4 linked regions of the Saccharomyces cerevisiae S288C genome follow. The protein of the gene in region 4 interacts with the protein of the main gene of each other region in a biochemical or structural test. Each region holds a gene or a part of one and is shown on either strand. Other genes may lie near its edges. The genes, in order: GPA2, IME1, MCM4 and IME2.

Region 1 (4,437 bases), on a different chromosome or scaffold from region 4:
CTCCTCGGAGCTGCGCGCTAACGTTTCATGACTCAAGTAGATGTAGAACCATAACTTAGCGTTGATTAAATTCAAGGAACGCAAATTGTAATAACACAATAAATTTGGGATAACAACCTTCCTATTAAACTCTACCAATTGTTCTAATTCTTTACTGTCCCATAAAAACAACTGGACTAGTAGATGCATGAAGCAATTAATTTCAGCTGTCACTTCAATGGTCTTTTTCTCAGTGTTTACGGAATAAAAAGAGGCTGGATATGAGTTTCTAAGCTCAGCTGACCCCGGTACGGACGATTTATGGTTAGAAGTAATGAACTTCAGCAGATTCTTCTTGAATGAAGAAGAATCAGGGTACAGCACATTCACTGTGAAACATAAAGTTTCCGCATTCAAAAGCTCCTGGTTCCTTAAAGAGCTCAAGTCCTTTAAACTCCTCCATATATATCTTGGGTCCAGCGTTAAAGTGGTCTTGGAGATCTCATTCAAAACTTTCAATAGTTCCTGAACCTGATCTTCTTCCGCATATTTCTTCTCAGAATGGTGCAAGTCATTGACCCCGGAAGAATCCACGTCCATCATTACTGCAGTGCTAGCCATTCTATTTGCTCAATTGAATTTTTTTTACTATACCCCCTTTCAAATTGTGTGATGAATGCCTTACCTACTGCTTTGTCTCTTTCTTGGGTGGCAAATGTTTTTCGTCCTCCTGCCTGAAAAGTGGAACTATTACCTCGTTGGAATGAAATTTTTGTTACCCGGGATAATAACTATAATGACTACAATAATATAGTGGTATAACGCTATAAATTAAAAAATAACGGTTGTGCTTAATACAGCACAAAACAGAAAAGTTATTCAAGTATCATGGTTGTGATTACTAGTACAATGGTCATGAGAAAACGTATTCGTATTTATTTAATTTTTTTTTTTTTTTTACCTTTTTTCCAGTTTCTTTTTTTATCTTTTTTAAAGGTGATAATAAAGGGGAGAAGAGGCATGCAGTTTTGTCTCTGTTTTAGCTGTGCATTCATTGTAACACTCCAGAGTCTTTCAATGTATTTTCCAAAATTGTTTCTTTGATGGCGGCAAATACTAATCTTATATTCGACGTGTCTGTGGCCTGTGTCACGTGAGGATATATGCTTAGATTCGCCCTGTTTAACTGAACAAACCTCCAGAGTATGTACTTAGCAGCCTTGTTGATGTCTGACCCGCCGGTGTAGTCTGGGAAGTAATTTTCCATAGGCACTTTGCTTAGTTTTTCAGCAAAAAGGTCGATTTTATTCAGAAAGAGTACGACAGACGTGCGCGCGAACCATCTACTGTTGACAATATTATCGAAAAGCACCAGCGATTCCTGAAACCTGTTCTGGTTCTTGTCCTCCATCAGCGTCTGGTCGTACTCCGATAGAGAAACGCAAAATATGACCAGAGTGACATTGTCGAAGCAGTGTATCCATTTTTTTCTTTCGGAACGCTGTCCACCCACGTCGTAAATATGCATCTTGATATCCGACCCCATATCAATGACGGTGTCAAAAATCCCTGACGTCATCTGTCTCGATCTTAATATGTCCTGCTGGGTGGGTCTGTAATTGGGCGAAGTGATCCTGGTGAAATTTTCCATGAAGTAAGGAGTCGAGTCCATTAGATAGAACTTCGATGCGTTAGGCCCATTGACTAAATCTTGTGTTGAGGGCAAGGCCCACAACGTAGATATTACGCCCGCGATATCTTCCGGGAATTGGCCCGTGTAGTTATTGGGCATTTCATAGGACATGGTTCTCGACAGGTCTTGTTGCGTCAGTTCACACTCCGGTTCCAAGTTGACGTTAAACCTTGTTCTCGCCTGGATGAGGTTCCTGCCAATTTCCAATAGATTCTGATAGATCAAGGGGATGTACTCTTTAATTTCCTGCTCGCTAAACCCGTTCTGGTGTAAAATCTTCAACTGCTGCAATACCGTGGACTTACCACTTTCACCGGCACCCAGCAGTAGCACTTTCAGTTCTTTGTCGTTGCTGCCACTTGAAGCGTCCGACAATGATGGTTGTGCTGCAACGTTACTCGACCTGTCTCTCAGGGCAGAGTCGATATTGATCTGTTGCGATCCGCTTGTATTTGCCGTAGCCGTGGGAGATATCGCGTTATTAATGCTCCCGTTTTGCTCCTTGCGGTCCTTAACATTATGCGGAGACGGCTGCTGCTGCCTCTGTTGTTGCTTTTCTTGTTGATTTGCTGTGTTGACTGTTCTCACAGTCTTCTGTGGCTCCTGCTTTGGTGGTACCTTCGCTTTGCCAACGTTGTCACTACCAGCGCTGGCGGTCTGCGTGTCAGGAGTGCTGCCGTTCTTTTCTGAAGATGCGCAGAGACCCATGATATTTGCTTGAAAATACGCGTGATTTGTGCTGTAACAATAAGGCTCGCTGTGATAGCAATTGCTCACTTTTATACCTATCGATTGCTCTTTGGGTAGTGAGAACCAAACCTACCTAAAGTTTTTCCACCCCTTCAGTCTAAGGCTGCACGCACGCGCCTATAAATCCTGCTGCTTATTAACTTTTTTTTTCGGTGCAGTATGCAAGAGGATAAGAAGAATCATTTGGGCGCAGCTGAGGGGGCTTGAACATGATGAAGTAAGGGAAGAAGAAATCGCGAACGAGGCAGTAGTCATGTTTTGTGACTGAATTGGCGGACTTCATTTTACTCCAGACATTTACTTAATGTGGAGCACGCCGGGCGCAGGGATCGTAATATATGGTATATCTTTAGTAATTATAAGTTTGATTCTGCCCCGGGTACCACGGGTTACCCGTTTCCTTAGCCTTTTGGATTTCGTCTTTTTTTTTTTCCTCCATTTTCACTTTTTCATTCAGTTACTAACTGGCCAAAAGAGACATTTTAGATATAAGAGGTATGAGAGAGTAGATATATGTGCGTGTGAGAAAAGGTAAGGGGCGCAAAGCATAAAACAGGTGGTATTATCGATCAACAGTATCATAAGAATGGCAGCTTCAGTTCCACCAGGAGGTCAGCGTATCTTGCAGAAGAGAAGACAGGCACAATCCATTAAGGAAAAGCAAGCAAAACAAACGCCCACTTCCACCAGACAGGCTGGTTACGGTGGGTCTTCAAGCTCAATTTTGAAGTTATATACGGACGAAGCCAATGGATTCAGAGTCGACTCCCTTGTCGTATTGTTCCTATCTGTCGGTTTCATCTTCTCCGTGATTGCTTTGCATCTATTGACGAAATTTACACACATTATATAATATCAGTAATTTTTTTACATATGCTAAAGAAAATCGATAATATCATTTCTCGCTCAAGAAAGTTTGCAGGTGGTGCTCCGCGTCCAGAACCTCTTGTTCGACTTCGATGAGGGCTCTGATTTCAGACCTGCCAAACAAGAAGGAGATGGCACCGTCGATGGTGCCCGAGATGGAGACAGCAATAGCGAAAAGGACCCAGAAGATGGAGGACCAGCCTGCCTTGTTTGCAGTAAACGTTGTCACGACCAACGACGCTATTAGGAGAAGTATTGAGGCCCAGAAATGTAGGCCACGGAAAAATTTCTGTCTTTGGGCTGTCTTCAAGTACGTGTGGATGCATTCTATCATGGTTTCGTAGTTGGAGTATCTCTGCAAGATCAGCTCTCTATCATGAGTCTTCGCACGCTTAACGGAGGTGGATGGACGGGACTCTGTGCCCTGTGGGACGATGTTAAGGGTGCATGAGTATGCAAAATGGTCAGAGACACTGCAGTCCAGGTGAGGGATCCGTTCAGTGAACCTGACACCTGCGTCTACTGTTTGCAAGAAATCAGGGTCGATAAGAGCATAATCCAACCTGCATGCCTCATCGGGTTGTCTTTGGGCCCTCCATGTGTTGAGCAGCGAATCGCACGTGGTACAGCCCTTAAGCAATTGTTGCAATGGAGACAGACGAGCGATCACCGCCAAGTCTTGCTTCCCATGCAATTGCTCCCAGGAGTCGACCAGGCCGGCCTCCTGCGTGAGAAATTTGTGGGGCAGTGAGCCCGGTCTGGAGTTTAAGTCACCCACCACAATCACCGCATAACCGGCCTGCCTGTAAAGCTTAATGAGCCTGCTGAAATCCCAGGCCTGACAAGATCTGTGGCACAAGTAGGCGGCATCACCCTGCTTGGCGTATGGGGCGTGCATGTGACTGTTCATTATTGCAATGGGGCGGGTTCCTGTGTTCAATACGGTGATTGCTATAGATTTCCCTACGTACCAGTCGCCACGGAACACCGCACTCGGTCTACCGTTTATCGGGAACCGGTAAAGAAAGGTCGACTCTATCGGGACCTTGGACAGTATGGCCAACCCAGGCCCCGTCAGAATACCAGAATGGAACAAACGCTGATACGGATACTTGGAGGCACACGCAGAAGCTAGATACTTCCAGTCT
Region 2 (4,384 bases), 380 kb from region 4:
TCGCTCTCTGTAGCTTTTACGGTCGTTGCCGTTACACCTTGATTTGCTTCTCCTTCTGTTATTAGTCTTTCATCTGATGTCTTTGTGATGGTATTGGATACATCTGTAGCTACGCTAATTACGTCTTTGCTTGAAGATGTCGCTGCGGTAGAATAAGAATCGAGTAGTTTTGCATCTAACCTAGTAGGGTCAGGACCCAGACTTATGATAACCTCTAGGTCAGAATCACTATCGTCATCTGAGGAGTCAGAGTAGATATCTTCATCAGAACGATCATCTCTGGCAGTAGCTGGAGTTTCTTCCACGGGAGAGTCGAATTTTTGCCTTTTAACTATATCAGGATTACTGGACGCACCTGCGTCTGCTTCATCATCTCTTGATCGTTTAGATGAAGGTAGTGCTAATTCGGAGTCGGAACCATACAAGAACTTGTCGTCTTCGTCTTCACTGGAGCTCATTTAGAGAAATGCTAATAATTTTAGTGTAGGCAAAAGGAATAAGAATGCAAAGCACGATGGTGCGGTTTAACAAAGTGAATTTGGTGATGTACTCTCTCAAGATTTATGTCGCATTATTCGCTACGAAGGTTTTTCAAGATTAAAACGAATCTCCTTTCCCATCGCGACATACGATAAGGCTAATAACGCTACGGTATTATGTCATGGAGCTTGAGACATTGAATACATATATATACCTATATATAATATATATATATGCAAATACACAAATTCTTAGCAATTTGAGTGAGACAATGGAAATAAAGAAATGAGTGTGAATGGATATATTTTGAGGGAAGGGGGAAGATTGTAGTACTTTTCGAGAATTAAGAATAGGTTTTACTAAACTTGTAGGATATTTCTTGAAACCTGACCTTGTCATAATAATCTTGATCATTAGAACTGCTGAAGGAGTAAGCCGCAGCATATCTTGACAGTTTGGAGTTCAACTTTTTTAGGAATTCTAACTCTTTTGAATTTAATTTTTGTAGTGATGGCGGTGGTGATTTTTCAACGTCGAAGGCAATTTCTAATGGGTAATAGTAGGAGGGCACCTGAGGTTCATCTATAAATGGATCTGCCTCATATACATTATCGGAGGCGTTGTTATTATTGCTGGTATTATTATAGTAATTACAATTAGTGCTTTTATGGTTGCTATAGTGACGATTATTAAAGGAATGTATGTTATCAGTATGTGGTGGAAACTGATCTTGATATTGGGAGTATGAATCCGTGTTTTTTGAATTTATTGATTCATGAATATTTGTGGGTTTTGAATAGGTATAATTAGTGGTATATGGGTAGAAGTCTTGTGTGTATGGGAATTCATTGAATTCAAAATTTTCTTGGAATATTTTGATATCTTTTTGTGCATTTGTATTAGTTTCATATTTTATTGTGTCACTAATATCGATATCATCTCCATTTCTGTTGCTCTTTTGAAAGTTATCATGGTTATTGAATGATGAGTGGAACGTAGATGCGGATTCATCATTAGAAAAAAGAGATGATAATGAAGAGGATCTGGTACTTTCAGAGCTCTTTTTTCCTCTTTCAGGACCAGTTGCCATTGTGCAGTCCTTCGTAGTTTTCGTTTCCTTGGAAATAGGCTGAGAATCAATATTTTCCAAATTCAGAAACTCTTCATTGAACAATATTTGAGGATTAATTAAATGAATTGGTTGTGTATGAACCAAGTTCTGCAGCTGAGATGAGGCAATTTTGTCAGACTTTTCAAAATGCCAACTTCTAGGGGAAATTGTAGATCCAAAAGAAAAACAAGGACGGTCTTCTTGATCGGTGGTTGTGTCATAATAAATGTTAGGTTGTTGTTGCTGTTCAAAAGGAAAGAGGAAGAAACCATCTTCTAAGGCAGCGTGAAGTTTTCCATGCATATCCGCTTGCATTTTGTTTGTGGGGAGAGGAATAGAAAAGCTTTTCTTTTATTATTTTTTTCCTTTTTCACCAGTAATGGGTGCCAGTAGGAATTTGTTTCTCTGTAGGTGACTAATGACAGTAGTATATTATGCTTTTAATCTTTAACAATACTACTGGTCGATTTATAATATGATAATGTAAAATAAATCGTAATAGGATAGTCGATGTTTGTATCTACTTCACGAAACAGTTATGGTATACGGTAGTTTAAATATCTGAAGAAGCAAAAATACCGAACTACAAGGGAAGCATTTTGAGAAAAATATTAAGATCAAAAGATAATTAATTTACCTTAAATACATAAAAGAGGAAAAGTAATATACAAGGTAAACAACAGGCAAGGAACAAGATCAAAAACGTCCGACCCCAATTTAGTAGTAAATTACAGTAAGAGAAAAAGGTATTGGGGCTGATACATATTAATTGTGCGTTGTTGTTGTTGTTTAATTTTAGATTGGCTATTATGAGTACACACAAAACGTTGTAAACGCAATCACCCATGGATAAGCGCTCCCTTTAAAATGCACTACGAAATCATTGATCTACTAACTTTAAACCGGACTTAAACCATCAAAGGGTGCTCTAGATCTCATCGATGTATTCTGATGCAGCCAAAATTGCGCAATCAATCACGTTTCCCGATATAGAAAACTAATTGGCTGTGTTACGTGGCTGGGGGTTCTGTAATTCCTTTCTTCCCCGGTGAATCATCAAGATTGGGCTAAGCGCCTTTGATCCTTTCCCTCGAAGACGGAAATGGGGCCGCAGGATAAAAAATGGTGTGTCTGTAATTCCGATTTTTTGCTTATGTAATCATGTAACTTTCTTCTAGTCCCTTTGCAGACATGCATGACACTTCCTTACCCGAATAGTGAGTTAGATCTGTGTTAGGATGCAGGATGGGCAGTTCAAAGGCTTTTCTTATCGTATCTTTACCTTTTCCTGTAACTAAGAAGGTTTTTGAGTGCATGTAAAGGCACATAAATGAAACTTTAATTCCCTGCGTATTTAAGACCCAAGAAGCCACCATGACGCTTCCTTGATGTTGTATCTACCCCCAATCCTGGCGCCCCCTCCTGCGGGCACGCATGCGCCTTTGATCCTTCCCCTCGAAGACGAAAAGTAAACAAAGATACGCACTTTTTTTCTCCAACGCAGTATTGAAGGTACCATCACATGCTTACTCACTTTGCGGCTGCTATAACACCGTGGCAGTGTAACGTTTTACCGTTTGTCCTTTGCTACCGCATTTTAAAGTGGTACAAGATGTTGAGAGAAAAGATTTCCTGCAGCCATGATTAGGAGAGGTAATAGCGGATGACATCAACGAATAAGCTTTATCCAGCGGCTTGTATAGTTCTGTGTACACAATTACTGCCGGGCTCTCTGAGCATTTGCGTTTCTCGGGCTAGCTTCATTACTTAGTAACTTCAAATTAATGAAATATTTAATTATCATGATTCCAAACAAAACTACTTTAATTTCAATCACATTTTTGTTATCTGCCTGAAACGATAGCTGTACGGGTACGTTCTTGATAAATAAAACTCAGTGTTTAAAACTCTCTTTTTACATCTGTTCGCCGATGATTGCTTGCTCGGAGGTACTAGTCATCGGAATTGAGGAAATTCCTTTTCTCCTTTGTTTTCTCTTTATCCCCGCGTAAATACGCGGAATGCCAATAATCAAGTACACATTCTTTCTCCAAGTTGGCCAAAAAATAGTTCAAATTCTTTAAACTAAGCGCTATTAATTATTATTAATTATATAAGTTTGAAAATATCAATGCAGGACCCTATTTCTTCACGAGGGTGTATCCAGAAACGGTTTCTTATATAGTGTTGGCGCTCACTTTTTTCCTACCCACGTCTATATATGCAACGCCTACTTGTTTTAATCAACATCACAATTTTATGCTTTTGAGGTACAGCAGTTAGCCGTACGTTTTCGGCAGTCGCTAAAAATGTAAGCGCGGCATTTACTGCCATTTAGTGGACTTCTTGAGGTTCTTTTGACATCCGCATTCTTGCAGCAAATACACCCCCACCCTTCTTTTATTGAGAATATCTACTGAACCTCCGTGAGGGAATACATTAATCAAATTACTCCAACACCATACGGGCCGTGGCGGAAAGAACAGCATGATATAGATAATATATGATATGAATTGATTTTTTTTTCTTTTTTTCTTGCGGCTGGTATGGTATTGTAAGGATGATAGTGCATTCTATGAGTGATTTTTGTGACGGTGACGTACGATCTCTATACCTTTTTAGCCGCCCATCTTCTGCCTTTCATTTTTATGCCAACCCTCCATCCATACATCCTTTTTAACCCATACATATCATTTAGATTATTGTTTTTTAATTTTTTTTTTATCAGATGTTGTTCATCGCGAAATTTATAATCTTTCGATTGAATCGCACTTGTCGTGCATAATGATAAAT
Region 3 (5,893 bases), on a different chromosome or scaffold from region 4:
GATAGATCCTCGAAAAGGTGAGACAAAGTATAACGGTATATTTCATGCTATCCGAACTATCTTAAAGGAAGAGAGCTTTAGAAGCTTTTTCAAAGGTGGTGGAGCCCGTGTCCTAAGAAGTTCTCCCCAATTTGGGTTCACTCTGGCCGCCTATGAATTATTCAAGGGCTTTATTCCCTCCCCCGATAACAAATTAAAAAGCAGAGAGGGTAGGAAGAGATTTTGTATCGATGACGACGCAGGCAATGAAGAGACAGTAGTTCATAGTAACGGTGAACTCCCACAGCAAAAGTTTTACTCTGATGATAGAAAACATGCCAATTATTACTATAAAAGCTGTCAAATTGCGAAAACATTCATTGATTTGGACAATAACTTTTCTAGGTTTGACTCTTCAGTTTATAAAAACTTTCAAGAGCACCTAAGAAGCATTAACGGGTGATTTATTTTCTTCGTCAGTTTCTCTGTACATATATATGTATATATTTACTTATTATAATTCATAGCAAAATATATGTTTTTTTTTTTTTCTTATAGTGAGAAAAATTACTAATGATCCTGAGATCAATTTCACTGTAGTTTTTACTATAGTGCAACAAGTATGTTGTTCTTAATAAGTGTAATGAAAGCTCTGAGGTCAAGTTTTCTTTTTTACAGAAAAGTTATATTGGCCTATTTCATAAATAACTGGCGGCAAGAAGCTAATGTAATATAACTCGATATCGCTTTTAATGCCATTGTATGTCATGAAAAGAAAATAAATAGAATTGAGATGAATATATATTCTTTTTTCTAGTTTTGTTCTATTTGTACATTGATTTAATTTAATTAACGAATATACAAGGGTTTTGCGAATAGATAGAATTAAAAAGCTTAGTGATGTTTATATCCCACTAATTTTCTTCTTCCAATTATTTCACCGACAGAATAAAACCCTATCAACTGAATACCATATGCGCCATATTTTAATAGTTCATTCTTTTGGATGTTTTTTAAACACGATAAAACTTCTGTAGGCTTTAGAGCAAAGTTTAGGCTCTGCTTATAAAGGTTCGAATACACTGATTTGAACTGGGCAACAGTTGGTGGTTGAAGACCCTCTTTTAAATAAATCTGTTTTGAAATCTCGGCACCGACTTTACCATAGTATAAAGCCTTTGATGACAAAAGATTTGCTTTAGAAACCAACCCACTGGTATAATTTTGGATCCTGCTTAGCATGATGAATTGATTAGCGTTCTGAAATATGATTTATCGGCAGGTTTATCTTGTCGATTTGGACTGGAGTAGAAAATATGAGGGATCTTTGCATCTTCATTTTTCGGTCTTTAAATGTAATCATCCTTCGGGATAAATTTAGTGCGTTTAACAATATTTTCTTTCAGCCAATCAGGAATAAGAAAAAAGCCGCCCACTCAATCGAGCCTACATACAGTATTGAATAGTGTTACAAAGCATAAGGATGTAAAAAATACAAACTTGCTATAATTAATTAGTATTTATTAATTGTTACGCAGGGAATGATTGTAGTAGACAGCATCAGACACGGTTATTCAGGCGAACTGATCTCCTTACACCCTCGCCAAGGACAATGACCTTGTCCTCTTGTTGCAATCTTGACAAGGCTTCCTGGATATCAGAAGACTCAACTCTATCTTGAGAGTGTTCATTGATTTGTTTTATAAGCTCATTGAATGACATTGAGTCTGATGCCTGATCCTTCAAAACATTCATAATTTCCCTTGACAAATCCTCCTGTAGTTTTCTCTGAATAACTGATTTACCTGTTTGAACTAAATTCATGTCGATTTTACCGGTTTTAGGGTCTGTTGCATAATCTTTTATGGCTGATCTAATTAATCTAACGGCTTCTTGAACATCCTCCAGCTCTACGACGTTTTTCAATTTCATTTTGGCGTGCGCCTCAGCCAAACGAATCATACTTTCAAGTTGTCTTGTGGTAGCTGTGATTCTCTTCTCATCGGATCTCGAATCGTCACCCATCTTTCTCATTCCTACATAAGCACGAACAAGCTCAGTCTTAGCGGCCTCGGTGATTATTGGGTGTATGTGCTCCTTTGCATAACTAATATACATCGTTAAAAATTCAACTGGTAGCACGTCGTCTTGAGAAATATGTTCGGGCTTATCTTCCAGGTAAAGATTTGTTAAGTGTTTGGCTAGTTCTCTGTCATTTTTCTCATCAACCTTATCAAGGACAAGATAGACCAGATCGAATCTCGAAAGTAGTGGGGGCGGTAGATCAATATTTTCAGTCACAGGCAAATTGGGGTTGTAGCGTGAACCAATTGGGTTAGCACTGGCCAAAATAGAACTTCTGGCATTAAGTGTTGTGATAATTCCCGCTTTTGCGATTGAAATAGTCTGCTGTTCCATGACTTCGTGCAAGACGGACCTTGTAGAATCACTCATTTTATCAAACTCGTCAATACAACAAACACCTCCATCAGACAATACTAATGCACCACTTTCCAAAACAAGTTGTTTTGTGTCGACATCCCTTGTAATATAAGCAGTTAAACCAACGGCAGATGAACCTTTACCCGAAGTATACACACCACGAGGAGTAATTTTGTGAACGTATTGCAAAATTTGCGATTTGGAAGTAGAAGGATCCCCACAAAGTAAAATATTTATGTCACCTCTATAACGGCCACCCTTGGTAAAGGTTTTATTCGTGCCGCCAAATAGCTGAAGTAATATACCCTTCTTGACATCTTCTAGCTCGTAAATACTTGGGGCAATAGAGCGGGCTAATAAACTGTATAAATCTTCTCTTGCCGCAACCTCGCGAATTTTTGCTAAATCCTGATCAGTAATTTGTCTTACTTCTTCGACCTCGTTATGATCTACCTTGTTCTGCATTAATTCTTGTTCAATAGTAGAAGTATCGACGTCTAACCTCTTATCTGAAACTTTTTTAACGTGGACCACATCGACGTATGTTTTATACAACGACTTTAGTACGCGTTGCCTGGAATTAGCTCTAATGGGGATGGACCTGAACGTGCCAGTCACCTCAATACGATCGCCCGCCCTGCAAGAATCCACTAATTCATCGTAAACACATAATGAGATAGAGTGAGGCGTTTGTCCATCAGGCACAAAGTCTGGAGTTTCCTGTAACTTAATGACTTGTTTATCTGCGAATGAACACCTGTTGTGAATCAGTGACATGGAATTGGGTTCATTACAATCAATACGTTCACACCTAGCGGGCTCTTGTATAACTCCTCTATCAATTTCCACTGCCATTGTATGATCGCAGACGTTGCATTTGAAAAACGCTACCTTCATATCAGGGATAACCGGAGTTGATCTCAGGACAAGACCCTTTAAGTTTATCAATTTATCAATATCATTTGGATTCAATTCGCGCATACCTTTACAAGAACCTACATTGTAAGGCCTTACTTTATAAAACTTGGTCTCTATTTCATCTAAATCGTAATCCAAATTGTTGTCTACTATTAAGGAAACCATACAGTCCTTGATAGTTTGATCCATGATAGAAATCACTTCTTGAGGATAATTTAATAGTTGATGGTATAAGTCTTCTGTTTGCTTGTAAGCAAGTAAGTTTCTAGCATCCAAGTTTAAATTAGAGGTACCAAGTTCTCTCATTTCATTAAGCTGCTTGATATAGTATAGTTCTTCGTCGGTAGTATTGTTAATGAATTCCTCCCTTTCATCCAATATTTTACGGAATTTATACTTGAAAGACATCAAAAAATTACGAAAATTAGTTGTACATTCCTGGATACTGACGTTGGTACCCCAAATTATTCTCAAGGGTTCACTGGCTTCCGATGGAGGAGCAGAAGAAGAAGAAGTATCCAAAGTATTCACGCCGGATCTAGTATCAAAATCCACAATTCTTCTTGGAGAGGATAAATCAGATGTATGAATATCATTTCTTCGCATGTGTACACGGTTTTGACCATTACGGCCTAAAGAAGAGGAAGAAGTAGGCAGTGCTCTATCACTTCTCAGATCAGAATGATATCTAGACCTTCCAGAAGCGCTCGCAGAAGAACGAATTCTGCCCTGTCTGCCTTGAGATTGGAAAACATCGGAATTTTGTCTTTGGGAAGAAGATGGAAAATTTAGTGGAGAAGAACCTATAGCAGCTCTGATGTTTCCCTCTCCCTGACTTAAGTTCTGGCTATTGTTGCGACCATAGATATCACCTTGTGATGAAGAGGAGCTATAAAATAGAGCTGGGGAAGAAAGCTGTGGTGGAACAGAATCAGGATTAGGCACAACGGGGGAGCTGGAGTTATTATCCTCTTTTGTTGGAGAGCTAGACTGTTGAGACATTTTAAGTTCTTGAGGTTCAAAAGGATCCTAAGTTGGGCTCTACCAAGAGTAAAAATAACTGAAGATGGGTTGTCTTATTTAGTATTGAAGATGTTCTTAAAGAAATAAACAGTGCCAATGCGAAGTTGCTCTTCTGGTCTCTTCTTCTCTTTTCATTTTCGAGGCGGCGAACTAGCATTAAATTTCCCGAAAGAGTAAACCAAGTGTTTGCGTTTTCATGAATCTACTCGTAATATTCCAAAAAGAAGTGATATAAAACATGCAGTTGGCTGACACAGATAAATGTAGTTCAGCTTATATAGAAGATTTTCTTTTGTTGCATGCGAGAAGTGCTGGATTTTATTCAAAGTCCAAAAGGCTTGACTGTCGATCGTAGTGTTGTCGCCTTTTTCATGTATACCAATAAATAATCAGTTTATCTGTATGTTTCTATATACTAAAGATCCGTTCAAGTTACAAAGACGGGGTTGGCATATTTGCATTGGCTCGAAGATTCTCCCAGTTTTGTGCGTCTTTGATTACCCATTTGCGGGGCAAATCACCCTTTCCAGAACTTCTTATGGCATATTCCTTTATGGTGTTTTTAATTGTTTGTTTGTTGTATTGCGGCAAATTTTTCTGTGCTATTTCAGTCACAGTACCCAAAGAAAACGTGCTGTCTTGAACCCCATCAAAAAGTCGAAGTAAGTCCATGGGGTCTGTAATCATTGCTTTTTGTTTCTTTTCGGGACTTTGAGATTGGCTAGCGGTCTGTGCCTGTAAGTCGGAATTACTTCTTTTGGATGGTAGAGACGATGTTTTGGGTTCTTTGAATGGATCGATTGGCCCGTCGGTTTCTATGATAACTTCGGCCTTGAGTTGTTGTAAGTATCGTTTATTTTCCTCTGATAAGTTTTCAAAATTGGATTTTAGGCATATTGTTGGTATCAATGGGCCTACAAATTTTCTCTTGGCGCAGGGTAGGCCATCCAAATCACTGTTTTCTTCGCTGTCTAGAAACCCGTCAAACTCTCCTTCGCTAGGTACGTCTTCATCATCTTCCTCCTCCTCCTCCTCTTCACCACTTTCTAAGTTATCGACTTCGCCTTCTTCTTCTTCATTAACCCATTCAACGTCAGAATCGTAATCATAATTGAATCCAGTACCTTTCGTAGAAAAGGGATCGTTTGGTGGCAAAGTAAAGTCCATAGAATAGGTTCCGATAAACGGAGGTCTAACATTTTCGTAGAATTTTATATATTTGTGCGGAACTTGTGCAAGTAAAGATTGGAGCTCATCGTCTGTTTTCTCCTTCAAAGGCATTTGCTGTAGAACGTCAACAGCTTTACGTTTAATTTTATGTCCTCTAGGTAATCTTCTAGACTGTAACCAATTCAATAAGTCGTCACTACTTGTTTTATCTTTACTGTTCAGTAATTCATCATCTATTTTTCTTTTGCTACCTTCCAGCTCCACTTTTGTTAGTTTCCACTTATTACTGACTCTAACTCCATCTTTAGCATAGAAAGGTAGAAAAAATTTTTCATAATCCGACTTTTCAACCACAGGCGTA
Region 4 (5,164 bases):
AGCTCGAGCGTCAAGAGACGGGTATAAGCGAAGAAGCGCAATGCCGCCAGCCAAGCAAAGCCAAACGAAGAGATCGACCTTCCATGGGGTCGCAACTTTTCCCGGTGACCTCTACATGTGTGATTGTTAGTTCAGCGTAACAGAGTTTCAACAACATGCATATACGAGTGTGCCTTCGTGCCTGATTTTGGTTGATTATCCGGCTTCCAACCTCGTTAAATTTTCATAAAGTGCATATCGTGTAATGTAAAAAGTAAAAAGATAAAAAAGACTCATATGAAATCTTGCTGCATGGAGACAAGTGCACTCGAATTCTTTACTTATATTTTCGCTCTTGAGCTCGTCCTTTTACTAGCATATCAATATCCGTTTCATTGAAAAGTGGCCTTAGAAACGCGGACACATTAGTCTCGTATGTCGGCTCTCGCCTACTTCTTGCCTATTGTTTCAGTGCCTTTAAACCTTATTTCCCTTCCCTCGCGTGCCATTCGGCGATCTCGATTTTCCGCAAGGGGCCTCAAACGACCGACATCAAAAACCAAAACAAAGGCCAAGCACATCGTTTAGAGAAGAAATTTTGGGGGTAATATGTTTTAACGATGCCATATATGCACCAACTTCTAGGGGAAAGAATGCTTTTGACTATCTCTCCTTCCTTGCATATAGGCCAGATTTTTCCTTGGATTGTGCTGTATTACTATTGGCTCCAAGGAACCTCACAGTGAGCTTTTCCAAACCGAAAGATTTCTCTTGCGATTTCTTCGTATGCAGTAATAGGGTTTTTTGAGAATATACCGGGCATAATGTTGCAGTTATCAACTATCGCACATACAGTAGTAACAGTTCTGGTTGTCCTAGCATTAATGCCGTTTTAATTTTCTGCAGAGTATTGCCTGTGGACAACAGTAACTTATACGAATAAACATACCAAGTTAGGATCTGAGCCGGGTAACCGAACACAAAGATCTCGTTCTACTTTTTTTGACCTCTTGATGAGTTGCTTAACAAAATCAGTAGCCGCCAAGAGCAAGAAATCATAAAATGTTCAAGAAAAACAAACATAAAAATATATTGGAGGGGAATAAACGCAAAGTAATGTCTAATAAGTTAAATTAAAGCCATCGAAAAAGCACTGTATTAATAGAGCAGTAGCTATTTAGGTGAATGCATAGTAATATAATATATATGCGAACATATGTATGTCTATGTGTATATAACTATATAACTGTGCCTAACGATTCGTCAGTCAAATGACAAATTATTAGAAGGTTACATTTCCAAAATGTTGGTTTGAATTGGATAGATGAGGCTCGAACTTTTCCCGTGATTTTTTTAATGTAGGTATCAAGAAATTTCTTGGAGTAAAATCTGGCATTGAATTAAACGAATCGCCTAAAGAGGCATCACCCAAAACATTATCACCTCTATGATGTGACCTATCTGTATGTGTGTAATTTGAGTTGTTCACATATGGTAGAACGATGTCTTCATCAATATCTGCATGTTCATTAAATGGTTGTTTTCTCTGAAACTCATCCTTTTCAGGAATTTCCAGGTCAAAAAATAGCTGTTCCATGTTGTCTGCTTCATCTTTATTTATAATTTCAATATCATTTGTCAACTGCCTAATATTCGATAATGAATGATCTAAGACTTCTTCATCTGGTAGTTGACAAAGGGCCAAATTATTACGAATTTCTTTTGATAATTCAGTCTCATCAATAGAATCTGAAATGGTAGAATCTGTTCCAACATCAGGTATTGAGTGATCATCATTATCTTCTTCAACGAATTCGTTTAAAAATTCTACCAAAGTTAGTTTTTCTTGATTTAATGTTGGTGAGCACATAGCATGAGAATCGTGATCGTTGTTGCTGATATCAATATCATTAGACTCTGTTTCTGCGGGCAATTTTGTTGAAGAGTTAAAATATATGGGCTTTGTGTTGGTCGCTACTGGATTTATACCTGCAAAAATCAATGCTTGTTCTGTATTAGTCACATTGCCTCTTGCGTCTACTTGGGATGCCACGGTGTTTTCAAAAAATGGCATTTCACAAAGCTCTTGGGCTGTTGCCCTTTCATTAGGATCCCATCTTAAACACTTTTTGACAACCTCAGATAAATCGGATAGTTGGGAGCTAGAAAGTAGATGATCCAACGATGAACCTTCTACATAAGGCAATTTCAAGTTTAATTTATGGACCAAATTACTGGCATCATCCCAAAATCCACCAGGTGGTGGAGCTGTGATGTGGTTTGTATTAACAAAATCAGAACGTTTGATAGGTGTACCAAGAACTTCTAAAATTTTCCATATCTGATCGATTTCGTTAGCACCGGGGAAGAGAGCTCTGAATACAGTAACTTCCACCGCCACGCACCCGAATGCCCAAATATCCAAAGGTTTGGAATAGTAACCACTTCTTAATAATATTTCAGGCGATCTATACCATCTTGTGGAAACGTAGGCCGTATACGGGTTTTTATTTTCAACATGGCGTGCCAAACCAAAATCTGCAAGTTTAATGACATAGTTATCTTGATATCCAATCTGGTTCATGTACTCCTTTTCAAAATACTGGGTACTTGGTGTGATAAGAATATTTTCAGGTTTTAAATCTCTGTGGAAGAAATTATGTTCGTGGATGTGTTTTAACCCAGCCAGTATCTGCGATAGAATAGATTTCAAAGAAGGAATCGAAAAAACTCGGCGCCTTCTATGTTTCATCATTTGATATAGGTTTTGCTCCATACATTCCATTACGATATGTAATTGGTAATTTTCAGAGTCAATAAAGACCTCAAAAATTTGTATCAGATGGTCATTCGCTGGGATTGCCAGTATGAACTTAATTTCTCTGACCCTCGTATAATCCTGGAGTGTATGCAGTTTTGTCATCATTGTCTTTATAGCCACTACACCTTGTGTCTTTGTTATATAGTTTTGGTGACCATTTTTAGGCTGATCCATTAAAGTACCCCTTATATCATGTTGTTTACCCAATATGTTCGATAAAGGAAATTGCGCTTTGGCTAAAGTTACACAACCAAATGATCCTGCACCTAGTTTTTCGATCAGCTGATATCTGTCTGATAAAGTCTTCAAAGGGATAGAAAGTGGCGGGTTATCGACATCAGGTGGAACACTGAACTCTGAGCCACTACTGGAACTCTGTCTACTACGTTTTTCAACCATAAATGACCTATTAAGTTAAGCTTAGTACTCTTCTTTTATTACGTCTGTATCACGTTCCTTTTCAATGAATATTTAAGAACACGATTAACTTTTCTGATAAGCCTGGTAAATAAATACAGGTTTATATTCTCTAGACAGCCACCTTAACCGACTGGAGTGTCCTTTATATCTTTACCCAAAAAATAAAACTTTTAGGAGAAGGGGTAACAAACTGAAAAGGGAAAGGGTAAAGTAAAGGTAACTGTAAACTATTTTGAAAGATAGATCTTGTAACTTCTTTCTCGTTGAGTGATATTGGAAAATAAAAATGAAATGAATGTGTGAAGACAGAAGAAGTTATTCAGGAAAAGAAAATGGACAGACCGGTGAGTTGCTACCTTAATATATCTATTTGATTACACACATTACTTCTTTACCTCTTTGCAACCAGCACTTGTCTGTGGCTTTTTGCCGCCGAAGTCTCGCGCCTTTTCCCTGTTGAATTGCATTTAAGACACAAGGCTGACATTTATTAATGATAGAGATTTCCACAAAAACTCAAATAGCCGCCGTAACATAAATTATTGGACAACCGGAGAAAAGGATATTTTAAGGCACCAGCGGGTAATACATCTTTATTTCTCCAAGTTTAAAAAGCGTATTTGGAAAAGCTGTGCCACTCAGATTTTTGTGAGAGTTTTCTTTTTCTACTTACCATGAGTGCGGAGTCTTGGTGAAACAGCTACTGAGAGAATAGGTATCTGGGTTACCAGTGTAGTTAGCTACAACATGTTCGAAATGCATGGTAGAGTCTGGGTTTCGTTCCCTTTGGCTTGTTAAGGCCGAAGATTGCTTTGGTCTGGATGGGCGGAGCCCAAATTTTATTGTTGAACTATTTTTAGATTAAGAAAAACAGCGCCAAATTTTACCCGGCTTATGGCTCCTCCCTTGGTACTCCCATTTTTATGACGTAGCAGTTGTCCCGCTTGTTTCAACTCCTCGAGAAAAGTGGGGCATTGGGTTTATCTGTCACAGTACCACCAGCACGCCGAATGGACCCTCTTTGTCTTAGCCCGACGTCTCCGTAATCAGCGCGCCATTCGTGTTTCTAGTGTCCTTTGACTATTTTCATCCGAAAAATATCGAAGCAAAGCCATCGCCAAAAATTGCGAACCCAATATGACGAAATTCGGAAGAATCTTGAAAAAGAAATAAACCGAATTGCATATTAATATATAACTATGTTTTACGTTTGTTTTAAGCCTACTATATCTGAGAACGTAGCTAAATAAATCTTATATAACACTTACTTACTTACTTAGCGGTGTGCGACTTTTATCTTTTAGATATAGAATAACAAAAGAAAAAAGATCGAATAACCGATAGGCTATACAATGGACGGTAGAAATGAAAAACCAACCACTCCTGTGTCAGATTTTCGGGTGGGAAGCTCCGAGCAAAGTCAAGCGGGAGTGAATCTTGAAGATAGTAGTGACCATCGCACTTCCAATTCAGCCGAGAGCAAAAAAGGCAATTTAAGTGGTAAAAGCATCAGTGATCTAGGTATTTCTAATAATGATAACAAAAATGTAAGATTCACTGCTGATACGGATGCTCTAGAAAATGATTTGTCTTCAAGATCTACAGAAACCAGCGATAATTCTAAGGGCACAGATGGACAAGATGAAGAAGATAGGCCTGCTCGCCACAAGAGGAAGCCTAAAGTTTCTTTCACACATTTAAGGAACAATGGTAAGGATGGAGACGATGAGACGTTCATCAAGAAGATAATAAATAACCTGACTGGAAATCAAGGGGGTTTGGTCCCTGGCTTGGCACCAATACCTTCAGAAAATGAAAATGGGAAGAATGATATAGAAAAAAATAACCGTAATGAAGAAATTCCCTTATCCGATCTAGCTGATGCGTCTAAAATCGTAGACGTTCATGAGGGCGACGATAAAGAAAAACTGGAGGCTCTCAAAT

The links.
Region 1: the proteins of IME2 (region 4) and GPA2 form a complex in vitro, tested with the Saccharomyces cerevisiae proteins (one study listed by BioGRID).
Region 2: of the proteins of IME2 (region 4) and IME1, one has a biochemical effect on the other in vitro, tested with the Saccharomyces cerevisiae proteins (one study listed by BioGRID).
Region 3: of the proteins of IME2 (region 4) and MCM4, one has a biochemical effect on the other in vitro, tested with the Saccharomyces cerevisiae proteins (one study listed by BioGRID).

What each region holds. Positions count from the first base shown.
Region 1 is NC_001137.3:193,111-197,547, reverse strand, and holds GPA2 (guanine nucleotide-binding protein subunit alpha), read right to left. Parts: upstream 2,381-4,437; coding exon 1,031-2,380; downstream 1-1,030. Other genes in the region: proteasome regulatory particle lid subunit RPN3, read right to left, coding at 1-600; Arf family guanine nucleotide exchange factor SBH2, read left to right, coding at 3,009-3,275; ISC1 (inositol phosphosphingolipid phospholipase), read right to left, coding at 3,318-4,437. UniProt on the Saccharomyces cerevisiae protein: Alpha subunit of the heterotrimeric guanine nucleotide-binding protein (G protein) involved in glucose-induced cAMP signaling.
Region 2 is NC_001142.9:603,746-608,129, forward strand, and holds IME1 (transcription factor IME1), read right to left. Parts: upstream 1,907-4,384; coding exon 824-1,906; downstream 1-823. Other genes in the region: cleavage polyadenylation factor subunit FIP1, read right to left, coding at 1-458. UniProt on the Saccharomyces cerevisiae protein: Transcription factor required for sporulation and for early sporulation-specific genes expression. Positive regulator of SME1/IME2 expression. Directly activates expression of SLZ1 during meiosis.
Region 3 is NC_001148.4:595,198-601,090, reverse strand, and holds MCM4 (MCM DNA helicase complex subunit MCM4), read right to left. Parts: upstream 4,342-5,893; coding exon 1,540-4,341; downstream 1-1,539. Other genes in the region: AGC1 (citrin), read left to right, coding at 1-442; ATP20 (F1F0 ATP synthase subunit g), read right to left, coding at 874-1,221; RLF2 (Rlf2p), read right to left, coding at 4,795-5,893. UniProt on the Saccharomyces cerevisiae protein: Acts as a component of the MCM2-7 complex (MCM complex) which is the putative replicative helicase essential for 'once per cell cycle' DNA replication initiation and elongation in eukaryotic cells.
Region 4 is NC_001142.9:219,425-224,588, reverse strand, and holds IME2 (protein kinase IME2), read right to left. Parts: upstream 3,200-5,164; coding exon 1,262-3,199; downstream 1-1,261. Other genes in the region: YJL107C (uncharacterized protein), read left to right, coding at 4,573-5,164. UniProt on the Saccharomyces cerevisiae protein: Protein kinase which is essential for the initiation of meiosis and sporulation.